2 linked regions of the Lepisosteus oculatus genome follow. The protein of the gene in region 2 interacts with the protein of the main gene of each other region in a biochemical or structural test. Links are inferred from orthologs where the notes say so. Each region holds a gene or a part of one and is shown on either strand. Other genes may lie near its edges.

Region 1 (8,991 bases), on a different chromosome or scaffold from region 2:
CCCCACCCCCACCTCAGCGCACCGTGCGGAAACCCTGTGAGCAGTCACACCGCCCGGCAAGCTCCGACACGCTCAGGGAGAGGGAATGCACAGATAAAGAGAGACGCAGGGGAGATACTGGAACCGGAGAAAGAGGGGAAAGTATTGAGCACAGCGGCTCGCAGACTGAAAGAATGTTTAGGTAACAAACAAGTGGCAGCCATTTGACTCCTCTTTTTGTCTGGTAGTTAGCTGATCATTGACCTGAGGATCTTGACAGAAACCGGGGTATCGGCTTCTGCAATATGGGTGCTCAGACCTGCTCCACACTCCCACAACCCTCGTGCAAAGCAGCTGCTCCTGTTCGCGGATTCACGCGCACCGCTCCGGAGTTTGCCGCTCGTGTCCTCCGGTTCGCGTTTCGCCGACCGTTCGGAAGCAGCCCCCAGGGGCGAACGCTAAAACCGTCACATTAAAACCCGTGTCCTCTCCGGCACGGCCGTCCGATGAGCTTTCACAGACCGGACCGAACTCAACATCGTGGGGTCTGTACTTCGGGGCCGGCTATCCAGCAGCGGCTCGGGTCCCACAGGTCCAGCGGTCCAGAGAGTCGCTGACCCACCGCGGCTGTGCGAGACCCCTGGAGCAGCAGCAGCGCGGCCCCCTCTGCGCGACTCTCCCGCTGGTCCCTCTGCTCACGAGGCCCCTGGGCGTACAGCACCGCCGAGCCCCACACGGGCCACTGCCGACGATCATGGTTACCGCCGCTGCGTTTCCGGGGCAACAGGGGACCAGGCGCGGCCTGAGGACAGACGGTAACCATGACCGCGAGGGATGGGGTATACCAGCGCCTACGCAGGTGCACCGGGGGGAGCTGCACAACAGCACCCCGAATAGCCAAGGAGCACCCCAAGGAAAGTATCGCGCCCCGCGGGACAGAGGACGCACGCTTGAAGAGCACGAGAAAGCCCTCCCTCACGGGACAGCCACAGCACCGACGCACGGGCAACACCCCGGCTCACCACGGACCTGCCAGCTGACTAGCGCGCCCCGCGGGGAGCTGCCCGGCAGTCCCCACGCCGCTCACAGAGCCGCGGCAAGACCGACCCACGGGCCCCGCCGAGGGGCTGGGAGAGGCTCGCTCACGAGCCGGACCCGTCCACCGCTCCTGGGCCACGCCGAGTCGGGAAGAAGCCCGTCTGCGCGTGCTCACTGCCCCACTGTGTTTTCAGAGCCTTGCCGAGGCCCAGCGGGGGCCCTGAAGGCCAGATCCGCCTGCGGTCATCTCTCCCGCCGAGTCCTGGGTCAGGCCAGGGCTACCCTGACCGACTGAGCCCCACCTGAGATTATAACCTCCGAGCCTCGAGCCTCTTTTAGTCTCAAACAGGGACATAACCCCTCTGTCACCACACTACAGAGAAGGCAGTGCTGCTCTGGAACGCGTCCGGAGAGGAACACCCGAGACACGCCCGGGCTGCAGGGAAAGTCCTGCACTGCCAGGCCGGAGGAAGCAGATCGAGACGGTCTTGAACGGTGCAGACTAGAAGCGGAAACAACACAAACTTTCACAATTTACAAAGGCCCGAGCAACAGGCATTTAAAACCAAAACCAGGAGGCACGTCCTACACAAAGGGTTGTGGGAGTGGGGAACAGGCCACCCGGTGCCGATGTCTCATGCTCCAGCGTTGCTGGACTCGGGGCTTCCCTGTCCCATTGGAACACGGCTCTACTCCTACTGCCAACACTCCTCCTGAAACCTGGCGACACTCACGTTTCACACAACGATGCTGCTGGAATGACTGTCATCCACGCTGGGACCTGACCTGCAGGAATACAGGCCGGGCCAATGAGACCACAACGCCACAGAACTCCGGCAGTGAGAAGCTACAGAGGGAGCATCTCCCACCAGCCAGAATGTGATCAGTCTGACTCCCCCCCCCCCCCCCACAACACACACACAACTCCTCAACGGGGAACCCGGGCCCTCCACCACAACCCCAGACCACATCAGACTGGTTCCACCGGCATCCCTTATCCCCTGGACCTCAAAAACACTTCAACCACCATAATCGCTCCTCTTCAGTGTGTCTGGACTGTATTAACCCCTCTCTCTCAGTGCAGTGTTAATGTCCTGTAGTGTCCAGTCAGTGTGTCTGGACTGTATTAACCCCTCTCTCTCAGTGCAGTGTTAATGTCCTGTAGTGTCCAGTCAGTGTGTCTGGACTGTATTAACCCCTCTCTCTCAGTGCAGTGTTAATGTCCTGTAGTGTCCAGTCAGTGTGTCTGGACTGTATTAACCCCTCTCTCTCAGTGCAGTGTTAATGTCCTGTAGTGTCCAGTCAGTGTGTCTGGACTGTATTAACCCCTCTCTCTCAGTGCAGTGTTAATGTCCTGGAGTGTCCAGTCAGTGTGTCTGGACTGTATTAACCCCTCTCTCTCAGTGCAGTGTTAATATCCAGACTGTACTGTATTAATGAATAGTCAGCACGTTTCACATGAAAACTCAACTCTACTGCGGGACACAAAGATTCAGTTTTCTCCTGCAGACGATTTCAAAATAGCGTTATTGGACTCTGAACCCGGAAACCTAGGCGAGATGACGAGCGAACTACAAACATCTGGCCTCAATAACGAGGCTGCGCAGGGAGCGCAGAGGCCGAGGGACTCTTATCTCGACAGCGAGCGCGCCCCCGCCGGGCCCGGCGCAGGTACAGGTGAGCTGTAATGGCCGCTGCCTGCTGCAGCTCCGCCCCGAACCGGCCCAAACGGCACCGGGCCAGGCTAGCTCCCGCCCTCCCCAGCACAGCTCCAGCGCTCCAGATCCACAGCTGCCCCCCCTCAAAGAACCGCGCGCACCGAAGAATGCGAACGTAAGAGGTCGAGAACTCCCAGCTATCGCGCGCACCGTGCGCGAGCCCGTGGCGAGGGCTGGGGATCCCTCGGGCTGCCGCGAGCCCGGAGGACCCGCGCGGCCTGGCCGGGTCATCGGCGCTTCGCTTCACCCACTCGCGCTCCGGCGGGGTGCGTGCGCGAGCACGTCGCCTCACAGACCCACCGAACCGGTTCGCGAGCCGCCCGCAGCGCCACCGGTGACCGCGGCGAGCTGTGGCGTCACACTCGCGAGTCGGGACATGCTGGGCGGTGTGTGTGGGGGGGGCGGGCGGCAGTTTCGGCTCCAGCATTTCAAAACAAGCAAGTCGAGGGGGGAGCGGCGCCGGCGAGGACACACCTGGCGACCGGGCCCGAACCCCCCCGGCGCTGGTGCCTCCCCACACCCCTGGACCCCCGCAGACCTTTCTGCTCCACCGCCACCCGCGACACCGTCCTGACGCCGTCAGTCAAAACCACAAGAAAACTCCGGCGAAGCGCTGAAACTCCAACTGTAACCGCACACACGGCGGGCCGCCAGGTCCCCGGTACTCCGGCTGCAGCCTGGACACACACACACACGGGGGCAGGACGGGCCGAGCCCTTACCTCACCTGGTCCCGCCGGGCGCGTCGCTGCTGTCCGGCGCCGGAACCGTCGGTCGTCACTGGCTCGCGCTGGGCGTCACGGTCTCTCCCCTCGCGGCGACGTCCCGCTGCACGAGTCCCCCAGTCCGCCACGCTGAGCGAGAGGCAGAGAGACGGCAGGGCTGAGACCGGCGCCCGGGAGCCGCACCTCCCAGTCCCTTCCACAGCCCACACTCAAGCTAGGGAGAGCGCTTTTATTTTGAAGCGGCGAGGTGTCCCAGGGACAGACGGACATCTTCGGGCACTACCAACAGTAGCTTTCTCCCTCCTCCCCCCCACCCACCACCCTCACCGTCGGTTCGCGATAATCCTCCGTCTCCCTCTCGGCATACGTGTTCAAACGGCCGGACACGCCGCCCAGCCGCGCGAGAACGCCGGAGTTGGGGCTCCGCGGTTGCGCAGCGAGTTTCTGTGTGGAAGTGGGCCTCTGGAAAAGAGGACTCGGGCGCCGCAACCACACGAAAGCTGGGGCTCGTTACAAAAATAACTAGACAGCGGGCAACAGCGTTCAAGTTAGCAAAGAAAAGACGAAAATCTCCACAGCGGAGAGACGGCGCAGATTTGCTTTTAGGGAAAAAAAGGGGGGGGCAGAGAAACTTCGGACCGTCAGGAGCTGTTCCTCCTGCGCGTCTCTTCCTTTGTGTCTGCCTTTTTTTAAAAAAATAAATAAACCCGTCCCCCCGACCCGGTGCGAGAGGAGACGTGCGCCTGCGAGAGCCGCCCGCGGCCCCGACTCGCCCCGGCCGCTCGAGCGGAGCCTGCCGGGACGGGGCTCGAGCCAGCCAGCCAGCCAGCCCGAGCCGCTCAGTCTCGTGCGCCCCGACTCCCAGGCACTTCCGACATCCACCCGCCGCCGCCGCCGCTGAGACCTACCTAGGAGCCGTCCTCTCCCGCACGCCGAAATCCTATCCCGGGGAGGACTCGAGTGTGCCTGTGTGTGTGTGTGTACGCTTGGCCGTGTCTCCCGGGGCCGTGCGTGAGTGCGTGTCCCGGGCCTGAGCGCTGCCGGGGCTGCTCCGAGTCTGTCTCTCTCTCTCTCTCACGGTTTTTCCCCGCCGCCGAATTCGGGCGTCTGACTGTACCGACTCCGCTCCGCGACTACATGGGTGTGGACACCCCAGCCAGAAAAGGAAGCAAGCGAGGAAGAAAGAAAGAAAACAAAAAAAAAGGACTATCCCCTCCCTCTTTTTCCCCACCTCTCTTTCTCTGTCCGTGTTCCCGTCTTTCCGCTGCTCCGTGTCCCTGTCGACTCTCCCTGTTAAAGTTGGAGCCCGTGAATCTCGCGCAGCAGGGCTGGGAGGGGGATGTGTACAGGGGTTACCGTAACGACCGGGGTAGGTGGACACCCTAAAACCGGAGCGCGCCCGGAGGCTCGTCTGTCCCCCCCGCTAGCGCCTGGGCCTCCTCTCAAGTGTCATTAACGTATACCCTATTTAGAAATACAGAACAGCAGCCCAGATGTTCATTTTGTTTGATAGTTTTGATGACGTATTTCTTGCATACATGTTCATCTTAATAGAGAGGTTGGAAGTGGAACCAGAATTGTTTGCGAGTTCCCAGGACTGAATAAGAATCATCATTATCATAATAATAATAATACGTACAGGATCTGTGTTTCTGCTTTTATTCCATACGCTTGGAATATAAGAAAACAGACTCATGAGCTCATTGTTTAGAGGTGTGCGCATACCCCGTGTACTACGGTACCCCCCAGGGCGCGGCAGCTGGGAGCGGCTCCCAGTCCAATGGGATCCTCCCATCATTCTTTCGGGAAGAGAGGAGGAAGATTAGCCCGAAAAAAAAAAGGGAGGGGTGTGGAGCCGACCAATAGCTAAGGCGCTTTTTTTTATCCGACGTGTTGCGTTCCCTCGCCCTGCTCACGAGCAGGCTCGGCGAGCTCCAGTCAGGAAGTTGCGCCCTGGTCCTTTAATTAAGCGCAGACAATTACAGCCCGCGGTCCGGGGCGTGTCGAGCGCAGTCGGCGAGAGTTCACGAGCGCCACACGGCGGGCGGGCGGAAGTCTGGCTGCGCGGGGTCAAAGAGCGCGTGTGGCGATATGCAAATGAGCGCCTCGGCCCCTTGTTCTCGGTCAACACGCCGGAGCCCGACCCGCCGGCGCTTTCACCTCCCCAGTTTCAGGGTGTGCGCTCACGCCTGCCCCGGGAGGAGTGTGTGTAGCTTGCAGCGTCTCAGGGAGGTGAGGCACTGTGCTGTAGCAGCAGCCCTCCCTCAGGTGAGCAGTTTAGCTGTGATCAGGTGGGGTCCTCTTCTGGTCTGTGGCTTTTCATCATCACCTGTAACAGAGATAAATGAATGGTGCTGATTAGCGTTGGTCATGCACAGGCTTGTTCAACAGGCTCTGCTGTGAGAAGCCGGATTGTGGGATTGTGTCTCCTTTCCTACAGTCTGGACAAGCGTGTGTCTGTTCACTGGTCTCTGAGCCCCAGTGCTACCTGTTGTCCCAGATTATCCCACAGGTGTCCACTGGGGCTCCAGTGCACAGCATCTCTGTCACTCTCTGCTCTCTCAGGACAGGTGTCCACTGGGGCTCCAGTGCACAGCATCTCTGTCACTCTCTGCTCTCTCAGGACAGGTGTCCACTGGGGCTCCAGTGCACAGCATCTCTGTCACTCTCTGCTCTCTCAGGACAGGTGTCCACTGGGGCTCCAGTGCACAGCATCACTGTCACACTGCTCTCTCTCAGGACAGGTGTCCACTAGGGCTCCAGTCCACAGCTTCACTGTCACAGTGCTCTCTAAGGACAGGTGTCCACTGGGGCTCCAGTCCACAGCTTCACTGTCACTCTGCTCTCTCAGGACAGGTGTCCACTGGGGCTCCAGTCCACAGCATCACTGTCACAATCTCTGTGCCTCTGTTTCTCAGTTTATATGGTCTGCCCTGTAGTTTCCACCTGTGTCCTCTGGTTCCTGTTTCCCTGTAGATCCTGACGAGCTCCGCTGGGCTGACTTTGTCAATATATTTTAATTTTTTTCATTTACTTGAATCAAGTTCCCTTATAGTCTTCCCCATTCAAAACTAAAGAGATTCAGTTCATTGTCCTCACAATTTGGAACAACAAAGAAATTGGATTGATATTTTTCCCTATCTGCACGTACATTGAATATCATCTGCCAGGTGTTTACCCTGTTCTGACGTCTATTTAAATCCTTTTTAATTGAATTTGGGAGCTTCTGCAGTGTCCGCTAATCCCCCTAATTAGGCATGATTTTACTGCATTGATCTGTGTGCAAGTGTCTCGATTGTTTTTACCACGTTTCATGGTAAAAAGCAATGATGTGTCATGAAAGGTGCTATATCCAATGCAGATCAGATGCCACAACAATGGAGCAAACCTTTTAGTAGTTGGCTTTGGAAGCCAAATCACAACCTGTTTAATTGGCTCCGCGGTTCAGAGCAAAACCCAGGAGACAACAGGTGATGAGTCTGAGAGCCCATCTTTCCTGGGGTCCAGTGCTTAGTGACACTCCCTCTCCCTCTGTCTCCCTCTCGTCCCTCATCCTGCGGCCTACTCACAGAGGCCTAAGCTTCTTCAGAAAGTCCAACAAGTTCCTGGCGATACAGGAGCAAAAGTAAGCAGAGCGTGTTGGCGTGGACTTGTGAAGGTCCTGCGCTACAGCCACGGGCGCCGTGTGAGGCCGGATTGTTTCTGTGTGCGGAGCTCAGCCCCCTCGGGGGAGAAGTCGGCCAGGGTGATGTCATCCTTCATGGAACAGGCACACAAAGGAAAGGGGAAGTGGAATTGTTTAGAAACGGAAATTATTAACATTCCACAATCCCGAGGCCCAGCCGCAGACCGCCGTGACCGCTCGTCACGCGCTGGCCTGGACGCGCACGGCACATCACGGCGACCCGCTCGGAGCGCGAGGGACTGGCCGCCGACCGCAGCGCCGCACCGATACGGAGGTCATCGCCGGCCCCCTGTGTCCGCAGGGGCGGGGGGGGGGTCAGGCTCAGACCGTGAGAACATAAGAACTGTTAACTAGCAAGGCCAGGCCCTTCAGCGCGTTGGGTTAGTAGTTAAATGATCTGAGAAGCTCATCCAGCTCGCTCCACACTCCCACCACCCTTTGTGTAAAGCAGTGCCTCCTGTCCTGACTGGAGGATCTCAGGGTATGAGTTCCTTCAGCCTGTCAGTGTAGAACTTTCCCACAGGTCCTGGAATGGATCCCTGATGAGTACTAAAAAGAAATCAGGGCCATAGCCCTGAGGAATGTTGATTTGTTTGATACACGGCTGGAAAAATAATAAGATCACTTTAGTGGCCATATACAATTTATTGCATTAGGAATTTGGCTTTTCACATACCCCAGCTTGCTCTCCATGAGACACACAGACAGGGAGAGAAGCTGGGGGTCAGAGCGCAGGGTCAGCCATTTATACAGCACCCCTGGAGTAGCTGGGGTTAAGGGCCTTGCTCAGGGGCCCAACAGAGTAGGAGTCCTCTGCCAGCTGTGGGATTTGAGCCAGCAACCTTCCACAGGCACAGATCCTCAGCCACAGAGCCACTGCTCCACCCCAGGGAATTAACTAGTAGCCATCTGACATCTACCAATTTGTCGGAGCAGAGGTGATTTAAAAACAACTCCCGATACTTTTCTCATACCGGATGGCCGTTTATTTACGTCTGTAACAACTGTATTTTAAGTATCGGAAGAAATGACAGATCATTCTCTCACGATGTTGCAGGAAAACGAGTCAACATGAGTCACGGAGCTCATTGACACCTGTCCGCACAGGCTCCTCCTGTGTGATGTCAGAGGTAATCTAAAACACACTGCAGCAGGGAACCCGGTCACGGTCCAGCCCGCTCCGCTCCAGGGCTTCGGCACACCCAGCAGCCGGACAATTACAGACAAGGGCATAAGGCAGCAGCTGAATACGAAAAAATGCTGAAATACTCAACAGTCCGATATTAATGAACACGTGTGTGTGACAGAGAAGTTTATTCTCCACTTCCTCCTCCCACTACCACTACTCATAGTGACACACCCTATACAGATAGCACGGCAACTCGGCGTTTAACAGCAATCACGCTGAGGTAACTCCGTGAAGTTGACCCCCCCTCCAAACAGCACAAACGGTGAAACCCACCTCATTCGTTTGTGCCGGTTAGTAGCGTCTAGTAGAAAGCAGCGTCTGTGCTGCTTTCGTTTCCGAGATATAGCGCCCTGTTTCTTCGGGGTCGTGACGTCACTCAGCCCCTCTACAATGTCGTAGGGAAACCAAACCGGTCCCATTCGTTAGTACTACGTTTATGCCGGTTTGTGCCGTTGAAAGTAACTTCCCAGCTTCTTTCTTTCCCGAGATATAGCGCCTTCTTTGGGGGGGGTGACGTCACTCAGCCCTCCTACAATGTCGTAGGGGAACCGGACCGATCTCAATCGTTAGTGCTGCGTTTGTGCCGGTTTGTGCCGTTGAAAGTAACTTCCCAGCTGCTTCCCAGCTTCCCAGAACATGTACAGATACATGCTCCACC
Region 2 (9,327 bases):
GGGGTGCGCTATGTCCACGTATCAATGGCAAGCAGTATGTGATAAAGACAAGCCCCCACCACACACTTCATCCTTTCTCAGCCCTAAATAAATGTCCTGTTTTAATGAACAGGTAAAGGTTTAGTCGTGGACTAAATAAACTAAACCTTTACCTGTTCCTTTGCAGCCTACGCGTGGTGACCCAGCACCCTGCATGTCCCCTGTCGTATCAATATACAGTATGACGCAGGCACTTACTTTTGTGCAAGGGTATTGTGAGAGCAGCAGCAGTACCAAAACTATTGGTAGTCTTAACACAACACTGACAATAGCGCGTATATCCGTTTCAGTAAACGCTCTGCGTCGTACAGTATGGTGCCGCTGTGAGGCGGTTGAACCTGATTTTTTAAATGGAGGAGGGTCGTCTCCGCACGCAGGCCGTTAGTCTGTCTTGTTGCTCGGTTAGCAAGCCAGGTTTGTGTTAACTCCGGTTTACAGAGAGGAACAAACTGCGCTCGTTAAATTTAAATGTGTTTACACTTTCCGATGAATTATTAATTTCGCAGCTGTCCAGCTGTCTCGGTTTAAACCGGCGGATGTCATATCAGCTTTGAAAGCGTACGACATTATTGTAGTCAGGACTGTACCCTATATATTTTTTTCAGTATATATACTGTATATACGTTTATTTTGTGATAATACAAAATGTGTGCGCTGGTAAGACAAAATTGATCCTTCTGTTATTTTAAAGTTAGAGGTGTTTGGGACTGGAAACGTTTTATAGGATTGACGTATGCATTTGTGATATATTCCGATGCCCTAAAAGTTATTGTATATACATAATTATCCAGTTAGGTGTAGATTTTTATTTTTCTAAATGATGGGTGCTTAATCACTGTGTTGTGACATTAACTGTGTTGTGGTGACATTACACCGCGCTAGAAGATTGAATTTCTTTTGGCGGGACAGGGTGTAGTCTGGTGTTTGAAAACCTCTTTGTCTTTATTAGGTAGCTGGAGAAATTAGCATTTCATCTGGCCTTTGTTGGGAGGTGGGGGAGCACTCCACTCCCTCATCTTGTATGGACTGCATGCCTAAGGGGTATGGAACCAAGACACTACACTTTTTTCTTTGTAGTTTCTGCATTCCTTCTTGGGGCTTGGTTTTATACTGAGCAAAGTTACTGAGACCCAAGATTTTGAATTCCGGAGAAGATTTTGCTTCTTAAGAGTGCCCTTAGCCATTTACTAATATTCTTAGTATATGAATTATAATGCACGTTGAAAATACTGCGTTTAAGAGGTTAGATTCAGAGGTACAAAAGTGGTTAAAATAAACATTTTCTTCCTAAATGAAAAAAAAAATCCTGGTTACACCCTGGATTGTGTCATTGACCCATCACACTAAGACCTTGTGATCAACCTCCTCTGTAGATGCATTTAAAGGCCACAGGGTCTATCCACAATGTGCTGCCTCTGAATCACAGCCACTATAAATACAAAACCACATTCTGATACTGCATGTTAAGGAAACTGAAGCATACCATTTAGATTTTTTTTATTCTTTGTATTTTTACATTGCAGGAGTAATACAGAATGAGCAGCTAGAGATGCCATTTTGGGAATAAATACAGTATTGATTTACTGTACAATCATCCAATGACAGATCATGCTCTAGATTATGAAAAATAACCTTAATTACTTTTTCCCCGCTTCTGATAATTAACAGTGTTCAACTATCAAAAAAAGTCTTCATAAGGCAGCATGAATGGTTGTGGTTGTCTAGAACATTCTACCCAACATTGCTTATTTCAAGAAATGGCTGGATAAGATCAAGCCAGATTAATTAGCTACTAAAAGTGAAACAAGCTAGGAGGGCAAAATTACTTCCTCTGCTTTGGTTTGCATTTTTTTATTCCAGAGTATGTAATGGATAATCATACCCACTGTTTAACCCGATGGGAGTTTCACTTCACAAGACCTCAACATCAGCAGAGGTTTAATATTCCATAAACTTTGAGATGTTAGTACATTCTTTAAATTTAATAATACACCTTTTAAGACTAACATCTGGCACTCCTATGAAAAACTGAAACTAACACTAATGATTATATCATTGTTGTGAAACCCAATATTATTTCAACCACTGACTGCGACAGGTGATAACAGGTTTTACAGCATGTGCTTAAACATATATATTTTTTCTTTTTTAGGGACTGAAGTTCAAAACCACACCTAGTATGAAAGGGAACTTGTCAGCCATTTTGGCTGTGTTTATTTATTCATGTTTATGTTTCAAATGCTTCACAATTTGTTTTTAAAAAAAACAGGTTATACTGACAGTTAGGTGAACATCTGCTACATGAAATCCAAAATACTGTGCATGCTCCCCGATAAACATTTGTTAGAAAGGTTTTATTAAACTAAAGGTTACATAAGGTAAGATATGTATACTCCTAACTTTAATTTTATAATTTTGTGTTTATAAAAACATCATCTCTGTTGAATCATTGCAAACATCTTTCTAAAACAAGCCTGATACGACCTTGTGATTCATATTTTTGTCTTCACAAAGTCACCTGTCTTTTCTAACAGTGGCTGCCTTTTAACATTCTCAGTATGCTTCCCTGACGGTAAACTGTACTGCATTTAAAAAGTCAAAACTAATCTGATTCTCATGGGATGAGCTTTTACCATTAAAATTAATGTGGATTGATTTGTGGAAGAAAATAGGGGGTGGTAATAAAGGGTCAATAGATCTAAAAATCATTAATAATTAACAAAAATAAAAATATTTTTGATATATTAAGATATGTTTTTGAGATGTATTGCTCAAAACTGCGAGTTTGCTCTTGTTTGAAGCAAAATGGGATTCCTTGATAAACAGCACAGTTGAAAAATGACAAGAATATCTTTTTTCTAAATATCTAGGATCCAAACCTCCCCAGTTTTCCTTTGATGAAAGACGTTTGACTTTACTATCAAATATTAATCTGAACTGAGTGGTGAAGAAATTAAAAAAATATATTGTTTTGAATTGACAGCACTATAGCACAGTGGTTAGAATTATTGTCCTGTAGCACTGGGTTCAGTTCTTGATCAGGGGTTATATCTGCGTGACTTTTGTACTGTATGTTCTCCCTATCTGTGCCTGGATTTCATCTGATATATTGTGCTCTGGTTTCTTCCCACAGTCCAAAGACATACTGGTAGGTTAAATGGCTTCTGAGAAAACTGCCCCTGTTGAGAGTGTGTGGTGCCTGTTTGTGTCTGCCTGAGATGGACTGGTGTCCTGCCCAGCATGTACCCTGCCTTGTGCCTGTTGCTTGCTGGGTTAGGCTCCAGCTGCCCTGAACTGGAACAAATTATTAGAAGATCAATGGATGGATTACTTTGAATTTCCATGGGTAAACCCAAACCACCATAGTGATTTTTTTTTTCTCGGTTTGGCGTGAGTTAAGTGTAATCTGAAATGCAATATATCACATAATATTGTATGTTTGTGGTGAATTACTGTACAGTGGTTATTATCCTGTATTTCAAGCTCTGGTCAAAACAATGTATTTTAGAGTTACTTATACTGCAAAAAGAAAGTGATGAGAGTACTGTTAGGTATCACAAATAATGGAAACCAGCCATAATGAAAAGGTTTCAATCACTATGAAGAAATGTTCATACATAGGTATTTCTGCTGCATTATAGGGGTTTTAATAATGGATCTCCATGGAGTCTCTGGGAACGTTGAGTAAATACTAAATATACGTCTTTTTCTTTCCAGCTTTTCCTGCAAGTATTTGAAGACCTTATTGTGGCAGACAATGTTTTCTGTTTAATGTTCTTTTTTGCTTTATTACATTTTTATAATGTTTGGGCCTTATTCAAACATGTATGATTAAATATAATACACATTTAAAATAACAACTGAAACCCAATTAATCATAAAAAATGTTACTTAGCTTTTTAAAAATAATGATGTTACAACTTCATTAAGTTTAAAGCTTTCATTTGTGCATGAAGTGCACCTTGATTTTCACAATCTCTTACAAAACATGCATACAGAAGGAAGACCTAAAATACAATGTCATGTGGCAGGGTATGTCTGGCAGTTTATGTTGGAAAGAAAGGCGTTTTTTGTATTTGAGAAACAAGAAACAAAAGGTCAACTCACTTGGTCTAATTTGAATTTCATGTTACATTAAAAATGAAATAAAAACTTGATGCGTTGTATTTTATGACAATTAGGAGAACTTCATGAGGAGAATAACATATAGGCAGAAAAATGTTTTTAAATCTAATCTATTTAGGTTTTTTTTTTATTAAAACTGAATATCAAACGTCTATACCCAGAGGCTGTATGCCTTTCATTTGTCTGAGCTTTATGGCTTTATAGATATTAATTGAAAACAAAATTTGGCTTGTGGTACTGTACATGGAAGAATTACATTCTAATTATAATTGTTATTGCTTTACTGTGGCATATGTTTTTCATTTTTTCACTATGATAGTATACAGTGCTGCTACGTTGAAGCATGTTCAAAGCTTGAAGATGTATACAGTATATCTGTTAAATGCATATTAAAGTTGTGCTAAAACTGATGCCTAGTTTAAGTACTGCAACAATGCCTGCATCTCCGCTTGTCTGTGCTGACATGACTCTTATTTTGTCTTTTCCTCACCTTAATATTGACCTTTTATTTTGTTTTGTATAAAAGAACCACATAAAACAAGATGTTTAAGGTATTCCTTAAACATTCCTTTTGAAAATCTTGATGAAATATGTGCTTCACTTACAAAAGGGTAAATTGTTTTATTTCACTTTTAAAACACTAACAAAGTGAAATACACGAAACACCTGAAATAACCATATATTTTTAGATCCTGCAAAAAACCTGTCCTTTTTACAATGGAACACTAAAAGGGTAACTCATATTCCGTCATATACTTTACATCCGTAAAGTAAATATAGAATACGCTGCATTTGTATTGTGTTAATTATTCATTGTAATACTTTAGAGAATGCTCAATACCTGTATCATATTACTCTAAATGTTAATTAGCACCAAGTCAGTGAAAAACAGTTTTCTAGTTATGGACAACAATCTAGGTTTTTCCAATTCTGAATGGGGCAGGCTCTAGGATCTCGAGGGTCTGCCACCAGGAAGAGAAGCTGAATAGTGCTATTCAGTGTACTGTGTGCAGAATGAAGTCAGTATACATATGCTCTCTTCATGTGTACAGTCTATGCAAGTAAGCCAAGAGCGCCTTCAGAAAACTTTGTTTCACCAGTTTTGAGAAAAGGTAAATAATTTCTTATTTTTTATTAATGAACTTATTTCTTTGCAATTTTGACAGGCTTCATATCATTCACAACAATAGACATTTTAAGGGTGTGAAACAACATCTTACTCTTGCTACTAAAGTAAAAAAGATGGGTAGGAATAATATGTAAGGCTCATGTTGCCTGGCCTTAGGACAGCATTTTGAATCTGTATTTCTTTAGAACCTGAGAGGAAGTAAACATGGATGGGTGTGTTTACTTCCATCCTAGGTGTCCAAGGGTAGCTTCAGAGGATTGCTTCATACTAACTGTATGTGATGATGAAATGGCTTCTGAAATGGCAGGAAAGCAAGAAACATTTTGTATTTTTTTTGTAATGTCTCTTGGTTTGACAATTGCAAAATGTTGCTTGATGTATTTCCTTTATGTATTTATTGCAGAAATGATCCTGTCCTCTAACAACTGCTCTTTATATATGACCTAGCACATGAAGTATCATGACCAAGTGATTAAAAACATCTGTTCAGCACTGCATTAGGTTCTATATTTAGGTTGTATGTTGTTGGTATTAAGTAGTATAATTTGTATAGGTTCCTTTATAATGCAGTAATTCTAATAGATGTATTGATTGAATAACTACGTTAGTTGTCCATGTTTCTGATGAGCCACCAATAAATCAATTTTTTAAATGTTCAGTTATATTAACAAAAAATGTTGTATTTGTGAACAACTCTATAAAAGAATGCCAAAGGGACTACTTCAGAGAATGTTTTATTGCCATCTGGCTGGTAGTACAATATTAACATTGGTAGGTCCAGCCTGTTAATGAATAACTTCAACAGACATTTACATTTCGTTCTCTAACAGAAAGTGGTGAAGATTTGAAACTGACCAAGCAAACTATGATTTTCTTAATGTAAGGGAAGAATGTCAATATGAGGAGTGTTATCCTGATATAAATTTTGTCTTCATATCTTAAAATACACACAAACAGGTAGTGTCCCTTTCAGTGACTTCAGCGTTCTTATTTCAGTCATTGAGCAATGCAGATTTAGGTTTATTCATTAAAGTATATTTTATTAAACCTGGAACTTTCTGTTATGTTAGTTTACCGAGGATCAGCTTGTTGATAGCAATATTTAGGGGTTCCAAAATGGTATAAAATCTAAGAAATTAGTTCTGTTTTCCAATGAGTGAAACTGGAAGAGAAAATCTGGCACTTTAGAGGCCATTTAATCATTGTACACTATTACAAATGAGATTAGAAAGAGATCAGTTTGTTCATACAAGCATTTGAGAAAATGTACAACTGGAAGTGCTTTATGCATTATTATAAGTGCTTCCTTAATTGAATAAAGAAGTAAATGAAAGACATCCATGAGGAGAGTTTTTTTTCTTCCTTGATGTTGTCAGTGGGTTTGTTTTCTCCTTCGATAGTTTCATGAATGTGTTACCTAAGTATATAGACTGTATTTCACAGCCTCAGAGGATTCTCAGTTTGTGTGATGAATTTCAAAACTGCTGTTTTACCTAGAGAATCCTTCATTGGATGGATGGAAGTACTTAAACCAATGAAGGGATGATAGAGTCTTTGGCTTAAATTTGGCTTTTGAAGTATGTAATTAAATATTTATAGAATTAAATTAATCTTTTTAAATGGTCTTAGCTACTTTATGTAGTAAAGTGGGAGGGTTTCAATGTCACAGAGTAAAAGATTATGAGAACCTTTTGATCTCTGCCTTGTAATACATACTTTTTGACTACAGCTGTCTTTAAAGTACTTTGTTAAAATAAGAACTTACATGTGGTTACTTCGTTTAACCAGTTTTTAGGTGACAATTCATTTATTTCCATTAAGAATTAGTTAATTTGTACCGTCACAAATAGGACCATATAAAGAGGGAATCAGGGAAATCATTGTAGTATTTTTCGTTATCTAGACGATGTGAAAAGATATCCTGAAATCTACATAAAAATAAAACTTGAGTTTGATTTATAGTGTTTTTTGTCAATTTGCACAATGCTCTTTTACACGCAAATACTGTATATGCCTCTATATTCTGGCATTTCGAAAAGCGGTGTTTCAATATATATTGTCTTTTCATTTCTGGCAATGGGTCTTTTGAATTAATACTGGGAAATAAAATTAAGATTAAAATCAGGAAATGCGTTTAATCCGTTGTTTCCCAGAAATAAAAATGGTGACATAAATGTATGGGTGTATCCTCGTTTGTAAGAGGGGGAATTCACTGTTTGAGAACTTTATTAGCATTAGGACCCGGAGATTTACACCCTCTACCTGTTGGCAGGTGGTGATTAAAGGAGCTATGCCCATAATTGGAGCCCGGAGACGTTAAGGAAGGGATGGGCGAGGTCACCTGTACACGTCACTGCATGTTCGAAACTACCTAGGACCGAGAGTTTCGCAGTTGCAGCCTCTGTTTTGAAGGAAGCACACCTTTCCACAAGGTTGAAAGACTCTTAAGGATTTATAATCAACAGATTTGGGCTGCAAATAAGGGATTCTATACAACCTTTCAAACTGATGGGGAGTGTCAGGAGTTTACAGCTGGGAGTAATCCTTCTCTTGGTCCAGGTAAGTCTTCGTGTTTGATTGAAAACGACCAGATCCACAAAGAAATCTCGTTTGACCCAGTATAACAGTTCTTACAGCACGTAGGTTTTAAAGCATCCGATATTGTAGTTTGTATTTATGCGTTTTAGACCCATTGAAAATCCTTTCAATGTGTTCATATAACGTAGATCAGTCGACATTAAAAAATTATGAAGCCTGTAATAACTTCCTGCTGATTGCTCTGTTTTAACGCTACCTTTTAAAGCAATCCTAGAAGAAAATCTATTAATAAAAACGTTTCACCAAAAAGCCTTCAGAAAAAATATTTTGAAAGTTCTTAAAATACGGCATTACCTTTTCAGAATATTACACTGAAACTTGTACGTTCCCATTTCCTGTTTCAAATGATTTAAAGAACTGGTGAACCGGACTCCATGTTATATACCTGTGGATCCTCTCAGACAATCTATTTATTTTTAGTGTTTTTGTAGTATTTTTGATAAGTGCCAATGTGAATTTGTTTCTTAAATACGTGTAACGGATCCCACAGTCGCCCGAAAACAGAGGCTCCTTGAGCTTGACCAAAGCGTCTAAACCCTTTCCAAAAATGGTCTAGTTTTCTTCCTTTTAATAAAACTATACTTTATTTATATAGTAGTGTCGTTTACACTAACATGAGATATTTATGAGATATATATAATATCATATCATTATATTAGTCTCCCTGTAATTTTCCCTCTATTTTCCTACTACTTCTTGCATACAAGTCAAAACTGTATTTCGCAAGTTCGCATCCAGGTATTACAAATGTCCGCTTGAGTGTCTTCGGTTTTTGTTGTTATAGGTTTTGGCTTCAGGATCTTGTGACGAGTCTGTGCCATGCCAGCCTGGCTTCAGTTCCGACAGCTTTGTCTTCAAAGTAAATCGGGAACATTTGCCGAGGGGCCGGATATTGGGGAGAGGTAAGCAATTATATACGTGTATGATTTGGTACACATAACTATCTGCTATATATTTTATATGAAGCTTTGTTTTTCAAGCATACAATTTTCTCGTTCGTTTACGCGACTTCTCAATATCATTGTAAAACAATTTCGATGTTGTTTTCTATTGACTCGTGTTACCCGTTGTTATCCGTTTTAAATCTTTAGAACCTTCTTTAGACTTCCACGTTTTAGTGCGGGTGCTTTATAGAGACATGCTTACGTAGTGTTTTGAAAGAATTAAATTAAAAATAAGTCCCCTTTGAATAGTAGTGACAGACAAGTAATTGTGAGAAGGTTCTCCTGATCCATGAGAGCCTTTTAGACATTTCTCAGCCAAGCAGACTAGGTTTACATTTGTCCTAAACAGAACGGTGTGTTTTTTTCCAACAGAAATGTAGCTTTATATATATAGGGATGTACACTCCAACGTGGTTCCATCCTGATTATTTCAAATCAAATTCAGTGTTGTACTGCATTCACAGTAAGCAACCCTTTAGATATCTGCATCTT

What was found.
Region 1: the proteins of cdh31 (region 2) and ctnnd1 form a complex in vitro, tested with the Homo sapiens proteins (5 studies listed by BioGRID and IntAct, with this or other methods). The link is inferred for Lepisosteus oculatus from reciprocal best matches to the Homo sapiens genes CDH1 and CTNND1.

The regions. Positions count from the first base shown.
Region 1 is NC_090701.1:41,499,470-41,508,460, reverse strand, and holds the start of ctnnd1 (catenin delta-1), read right to left. Parts: upstream 4,242-8,991; 5' UTR 3,825-4,241; coding exon 3,787-3,824; intron 3,589-3,786; coding exon 3,462-3,588; exon of another isoform or gene 3,457-3,461; intron 1-3,456. UniProt on the Homo sapiens protein: Key regulator of cell-cell adhesion that associates with and regulates the cell adhesion properties of both C-, E- and N-cadherins, being critical for their surface stability.
Region 2 is NC_090715.1:9,220,708-9,230,034, forward strand, and holds the start of cdh31 (B-cadherin), read left to right. Parts: upstream 1-5,186; 5' UTR 5,187-5,276; intron 5,277-7,565; 5' UTR 7,566-7,801; coding exon 7,802-7,852; intron 7,853-8,675; coding exon 8,676-8,793; intron 8,794-9,327.